Macaca mulatta: one gene and its partner. The protein of the gene in region 1 interacts with the protein of each later gene in a biochemical or structural test. Links are inferred from orthologs where the notes say so. Each region holds a gene or a part of one and is shown in the gene's direction. Other genes may lie near its edges.

What was found.
Region 2: the proteins of ESR1 (region 1) and AHR form a complex in vitro, tested with the Homo sapiens proteins (4 studies listed by BioGRID, with this or other methods). The link is inferred for Macaca mulatta from reciprocal best matches to the Homo sapiens genes ESR1 and AHR.

The regions. Positions count from the first base shown.
Region 1 is NC_133409.1:70,668,829-70,672,328, forward strand, and holds part of ESR1 (estrogen receptor), read left to right. Parts: intron 1-1,690; coding exon 1,691-2,026; intron 2,027-3,500.
Region 2 is NC_133408.1:110,968,386-110,972,393, reverse strand, and holds the start of AHR (aryl hydrocarbon receptor), read left to right. Parts: upstream 1-1,208; 5' UTR 1,209-1,697; coding exon of another isoform or gene 1,698-1,902; coding exon 1,903-1,967; intron 1,968-4,008. Other genes in the region: uncharacterized protein LOC106997514, read right to left, coding at 1,698-1,925. UniProt on the Homo sapiens protein: Ligand-activated transcription factor that enables cells to adapt to changing conditions by sensing compounds from the environment, diet, microbiome and cellular metabolism, and which plays important roles in development, immunity and cancer.

The DNA.
Region 1 (3,500 bases):
GGCAATAAAAGTTGAAATGCCTGACCAAGGACAATGGCTGGTCAGGTGCCATTGTTCTCATCTTTTACTTTTAGATGTCCCTCAGTTTGTTAAGTTAGTACCTACATAGTGTCCTGAAACTTGTTCAATTTGTACCTACATAATAGATTAAATTCAAAATCTCTGCTTAACTGAAAACAAAAGCAAACTTCTTTTCAGAGCCAGAATCTGGAATCATACTTAATAGAGAATGATCTTGTACAAGTTGGATCATCTCTTTAAGTAACGGTTTCTCAAACTTACAAGATTATTGTGAGAACTAAATTAGTTCTAAAGTGTTTCCATGTAAAGTGTATGTAAATGCTTAAAATATGTAGTAAGTTCTGAATGCATATTACTAATAATAATCTTTATTATAATGTTTACTATTTCATGAGAAATGCTTATTTTAATACTGAGCAAATAGGAAGAGTTCATGGCTTCTCTATGTTTTTGAAGTGTCATTTAATATATTATATATATATATTTATATGTATAAAACATATATATATATATTTCAGTTACACATTTGTCCAAATACGTTTACAAATTAAAACAAAACAAGACAAAGTTCTCACACTAGTTATTTGTTATAAAGTGATAGAACAAGTGATATGTTATAAAGAGCATTTATTTCTCATGTCTTTGGTATTAAAAATAGTTGTATTAACTTTGTATCAAAATGATTGCTTCCTTCATTTAAATCTAAGAATTATTGCTGTCTGATAAATATTGGAGAGATTAACTGTTTTGAAAATATAGAAGCTCTTTGTCTTTTTAAAATAGTTGTTTTTGGCAGATGTTAATACATTTCGGCAGCACAGTATGGCCTTTTTCAGGTTAAGGTGCTGAGCCCAAACCTCAAAGAATCACTGCAAAAAGATTGGATCACCCCTCTTCACCCCATTTCATAATTTAGTTAGTGAGAACCACAGCTGGGTAAACCTTTGGGGGGAAATTATCAAATAAAACAAACTCTTTTTAGAAGTTTACAACTTTTATGTTAGGAAAAAACAAACACATTTGTGAAAAGCTTAAAATCCAGTAAACGACTTGAGGGACTTGTGGTAATCCTAGGGTGATGAGGAGCAGGTTAGCAGCAGTGAAGGACTTAGCACCCCAGGGGGCCAGAGGCTGTAATATACCTTACGAGCAAGTCATTCTTATTTAGTCTTGCCCATTAAGAAGTCTACTTGGACTAAATGCTTTTAAAAATGCCCTTTTAATTTACTATTAAAAGAATATTCCTAGCAGAAGTAGTCTTTGATGCTAAATCATATTTTAAGAATAACTAAAATTAGAATTTTGTTCTTTTTATAACACTCATTACCTACACACACCCCTACCTGGTGTGTCAGAGTCAGTTTGTACGGGCTCACCAAAGCCTACTGTTCAATTTTCAGGAGTTTTGTAAGCCATTTGATGTCAGACAAGTGGCCTGAAGTTTGTTATGGTGGCAGTATTTACACCATGAAAATTGGCAACTGCTACAAATAGAAGTCTTTTTCTTCTTCTCTTGGAGAGCCACTTGTTAAACACTTACCAGCTCACCTGTGCTTGAAAGTATTTCTTCAAATAAAATGAAAGACGGTTAGCTTTGAAAATTTTTTGTATAAAAGTTTACATGGGAAAAAAATAAACTAATTGTTTTTTCTTCCCCCTGTGTTTTCAGGGATACGAAAAGACCGAAGAGGAGGGAGAATGTTGAAACACAAGCGCCAGAGAGATGATGGGGAGGGCAGGGGTGAAGTGGGGTCCGCTGGAGACATGAGAGCTGCCAACCTTTGGCCAAGCCCGCTCATGATCAAGCACTCTAAGAAGAACAGCCCGGCCTTGTCCCTGACGGCCGACCAGATGGTCAGTGCCTTGCTGGATGCTGAGCCCCCTATACTCTATTCCGAGTATGATCCTACCAGACCCTTCAGTGAAGCTTCGATGATGGGCTTACTGACCAACCTGGCAGACAGGGAGCTGGTTCACATGATCAACTGGGCAAAGAGGGTGCCAGGTAAGAATGCGAAGCTCAACTTTTAAGAGTCAATAGCTTTTCAAGAACTGGTTGTGATGTCATGGGAGAAATAGTGGGGAAAAAAGAAGCAATAACACGTTATGTAATAGGTTTCAAGGTTATAGGAGATGTGTTCATTTTCAGTATCAATACACTGTAATTTTTCTGGAGATTAGGAAATAATATTTTAAAATAAAAATCCAGAAGACTAAAATTTTTAAATTGACATAATTTATTTTTAACCCATCTTATTTACCAGAAAGATTTAGGGTGGACACTACATGATAAAACTATTTGATAGTATATGTTCACATTCGCAGAAACTTGTAACACTAAATGATCTACAAAAGTTCTTAATATTAATGACCTTTGTTCAAAACATCTCAATTATTAATAAAACAATGTTATCTTAAAAAGATTGTTAAGATTGGGTGTGGTGGCTCATGCCTGTAATCCTAGCACTTTTTGGGGCTGAAGTGGGAGGATTGCTTGAGCCCAGGAACTTGAGGCCAGCCAGGGCAATGTGGCGAAACCCTGTCTCTACAAAAAATTTTTAAAAATTACCTGGGTGCAGTGGCAGACACCTGTGGTCCCAGCTACTGGGGAGGCTGAGGTGAGAGGATGGCTTGAGTCCAGGAGGTTGGAGCTACAGTGAACCGTGTTTCTGTGGAGTGCCACTGCACCCCAGCCTGGGTGACAGAGCAAGACCATGTCTCAAAAAATAAACACCAAAAAAAAAAGTTAAGAAAGATCTTTATGGATTAAAGAGATAATAATAAGTTTACTTACTGAATGCCAATTATTTATCCAACCTGGTGTATGCTTAGTATTTTAGCAGAAAGAGAAAGGCAGTGGAAAAATAAATTAAGGTATCATCCCTGAAAGAAACTTTTAGAAAGACGCAGTGGCTGAAGTGATATCTTGTTCCTTCAGCTGATTCTCTCAGAACTGGTGTTATAGTAAAATTGGACTGTTACTCCTGTTGTTCAGGGAGAAGAACTCAAGTCTGTATGGAAACAAGACTAGAAAATGGCTTTCTCCCTGCCCCAGTGTATCCATTCAGGAGCTAATGTAGATGAACCAAGGCAAGAGGAAGTTAAATTTTTTTCTGGGCTTATAGACTCAATGAGTGATAGATTTAGTTGGAGTTTTTCTCATTTGGTTTCTTTTAATAGATGAAATTAATTGTTTCCTACGAAGCATGAAATGTTTAATATGAAACTAAAAAATGTGGAGTTTGTACTTGCATTTCAAGGGTCACTGCTGTGTTACAGGCCAAGTGAACTTATGTCTGGCCTTAGAGAATCTTACATGTATTTGCATCTATCAGCATATAAACATGTGGGCTGTAGAATAAGAAGCCAGCAGTACGAGAACCCAGCCTTGTTAGAGGCCACCATTTTGGTGGTTTGGGTGGTTATTAGGTTACATGGAAGCATGGAGAATAATAGGCAAATGTAGGTTTTCAATGTCA
Region 2 (4,008 bases), on another chromosome or scaffold:
AAGATCATCAACCACAAAACACAGTTGTTCTTTTGTAGCTCATGCTAGAATACCCTTTGTTCCATCTCCTTCATCTTTCTGATCCAAAATTTAGTAGCCTACTACATTTCACCCACCATCCTTTCCTCCAGCTATGGTAGAGAACTGCTCCTCCAACTTTATGTACATTTGAATCACCTGGGAGTTCTTGTGAACTTCGGGGTCTGATTTAATATGGACACCCAAAGAGTCTGCATTTCTTATAACTCTCATAAGAAGCTGTGGAGTACTCTGAACAGCAAAGTACTGGAAGTGCTGTTTCTGTTAGTATCTAAACTATTAGTCCTAATCTCCCATTTATGCTTTGGCACTCATTCCCTCCTGCTTTCGCTATCTTAATATCTATCACTCCTTAACTGTTCCCTCAGGTTCCCTACATAGTTTATCTCCACCCCTCTAAGCTGCTCAGTATCACCCATTAAAGAACTAAACCAAAACAAAACTAGAAAACCCTCATTTAACCCTTCACTCCCCCTACATACCATCTGATGTGTCTCTCATCCACAGTTAAACTTGGAAGAATTGTCTGCTTGAGGATGCCATTTCATCATCTCCAGCAATCCTGTACCCACTTCAATGTTATTTGCAGGCCCATTACCCCACCAACACAGCATTCACGAAAATTATCAATGACTACACACTGAGAAGACAAGAATGACATTTTCAGTTCTCCTCTAATTTGAATTTCTCAACAGCATTCAATACTGTTAACTACTCCCAATATTTTTCCACATTGTCCTCCATGACACAACACATAATAGTCCCCTTATTATCTATTTTCCTGTCTATTGAAAAGACTTCCCCCCACCCCAAAAAAGGTCAAGAAAACCCCTAGCCTGCAAGTCTCAACTGAAATCTGGCCTTCTGAAGCCTCCCCAACTAGGAAAATATATAGTCCCATTGGTTGTCTACCAGTTAATTGTAATTCTTAGCCACAAGTCAGCTGAACCACCGTCTCTCAAACAGGCGAAGTTAAGCTCTATATTTGGCATATCTTGATATACTTTGTATAGTCTAGCTACAATGAGTTTGCCTATGCACGAAGATGGCTACCGGCGGGGGGGCGTCGTTACGTCCTGCGTCATCACGTGCCGGGATGAGGGTGGGGCCCTCAAGGAAGATGGAATGGAATCCAGATGGGCGGGGGCAAGCAGGACGGGGCGGGGCTACGCTGGATCTGGGCGGGGCGGGGCCGGTGAGGGGTCGGGGGTGCTTGTGCTATTCAGCCGGTGCGCGCGGCGGCGGGAGGCAGCGGCTGGGGAGTCCCCTCGACGCTCTGTTCCGAGAGCGTGCCCCGGACCGCCAGCTCAGACCAGGGGCAGCTGTGTAGCCGAACGTAAGCTAGGAGCAGCCGGGACTGGTGGCTGGCCCCCGAGCTCCGCAGGCGGGAAGCACCCAGGATTTGGGAAGTCCCGGGAGCAACGCGGCGGCGCCTCCCTCACCCAAGGGGCCGCGGCTACGGTCACGGAGCGCGGCGGCACCGTGAGCGACCCAGGCCAGGATTCTAAATAGACGGCCCAGGTTCCTCCTCTGCCCGGGCCGCCTCACCTGCGGGCATTGCCGCGCCGCCTCCGCCGGTGTAGACGGCACCTGCGCCGCCTCGCTCGCGGGTCTCCGCCCCTTGCCCCCCCTTTCGGCGCCAGGCCCGGGCAGCTCACCTGGACTGGCGCGGGCTGCGGGAGCCTGCGGTAGCCGAGGCGCGGAGGCGCAGCGCCCACGCCACTGTCTGGAGAGGACGCAGGTGGAGCGGGCGCGGCTTCGCGGAACCCGGCGCCTGCCGCCGCCGTCGTCCCGGCAGACACCAGGTCCCGGGGACCCGGCCGCCAGTGCCCGGGGAGTAGCCGCCGCCGTCGGCTGGGCACCATGAACAGCAGCAGCGCCAACATCACCTACGCCAGTCGCAAGCGGCGGAAGCCGGTGCAGAAAACGTGAGTGTCCCGAGCGCGTCCTCATCGCGGGGGCTGGGCGCACAGGCACGCGGGTGCGGGAGGCAGCCCCACCCCGCCCCCAAATCCCTGCGATCCTGAGGATTAGGTTCATTCCCGGCACTGCCCGTGGAATCGAGGTTTGGAGGCCGGTCGGGAGACCGAGGACTTGAATTCTCGCGTTTTCAATGATTGCATTTTAAAAATTGTCCTTCCACCCATCCTCTTCCCCCGCACCGGTGCATACACACCCTCTCACATTTGTAACTTTGTTCTCTCTGATTTGGTCCTGATTTGTTGACAGCTCTGATCTGCCTTGGGCTAATGGATTAGTTAGTATAAACCTGTCTTGAAATCTCCTTCCACTTTTAATATCCGCATGCGTTAGGTTAGAGGACAGTCTTAATTCTCATTCTTGGTAGAGTTTGGTAGGGCGAGATGTTTTAAAGAGCTAAACACGTGCTGACTTTTACGAAGGGGCTGAGTGCCTCTAAAGGTACTTTTTGGTCCCCACCTACTGGCTTTCTGTTGCGCTCTTATTTACTTATTTGGCAGCAGTTTTGTAGCGCTCATCGTGACCATATCGGTAAAGTGGATAGACGTGGTAGCAGGTGGGAGTGGATGCAACGGACAGGATACGGTGGAGGATTTGTATTCTTCAGACATCTTTTTCGGAAGCTTGCTTATCACTTTTGGGGTGGCTTTAGAGTCTGTAACATAAAAGATTTAGAACTGCATTTGAGAGTGGTTTTCATTCTTAACATTTACCTCTAATTATTTTCCCCTTCAAAGTTTTGTTCTAATTGAGTGAGTACAAACTTGCTTTTGTCGTTGTCAGTTGATTTTGGTGGAATATTTGTGTGAGATGGCAAATACTTTATTTTCTTGTGTGTCAGAAAAAAGTATCCGTGCTGGAAACTTTTCCTGTTGTGTGGTGGTTGTATTCATGTGTTTGTTCCAATTTTTTTATTTCTAGTTTTATCTCTGAGTTGCTTTACCTGCATGTTTTTCAAGTTTTCGTAAACAATTTTAAGAACTCTTAAACGTCCTCTCAGACCAAATCAGAAGTGTGCATTTTGCTTAGACTCCAACTGTCACTAATGGGAACCAGAAAAATAACACTTTAAGATTTACATTTAAAACCAGTTATTGGTTTAAAGTTTCATTCTAAAATTTTAGTTTCCTTTCAGAATTTCAGTTATCATAGTTCTTCAGAACTAGACTTGTGAATTGGCATTAACAGAGGATAATAATCTGTAAATAGACTGATTAAAATATGGAAGTTTTATGATAGAGTGTGTTTTAAGGGAATGTTGTCAAACCAGCAGTTTTTCTACCTTGGCAGTTTGAGACATCGGTTTATAATACTTTTAATTTTGTAGAATGATTTCTTATATTAAAGTATGTTTGTCTTATTTGACATTGTCCTTCATGGTTAAAGTTGGGAGGCATCACAAATGTCTGTTCTATGTGTTTATTAATGCAATAATATACTTAGCATCATATATAATAGGGACGTCATAGGTTTTATGTGTATAGTGAGAAAACAGGAAGCTTTCCCTGATGTGTTTTTAAGATACTGGGTTTCAGTTAGGGTGTTATAAAAGGACCTGGGTGGCTTTGTAAACAAAAACAAATGCCATAATTTTGTATTCATTATACAGTTTAACATTTATGGATTTTAGTTACTTTGCGTAAAATGTACTTTTTATTAGATTATCCTAATATACTTTCTTAGTCTTTAATATGCTTGTATTAATTTCTTACAATATAACAAAAGTATTTTTCCCATTCACCCACATTTTATTTTGTTAGCATAGATGTTTATCAGATCTCTACTGAGCACCATATATTGCTTCTAATCATACAAATGCCTTAAATATCACCAGCTTCCTCTGTAAGAAAAGGCTAGTGCTGGTATTTTCTTTATCAAGTGAAAGTGTTTATATAAATTATTTTTACCTGAATGAAAAATTGTTAACTTTATAATGCAGTAAATCAAAGTTTATTTTAGAAATGAAGTCATTAAACTTGATATTGAATT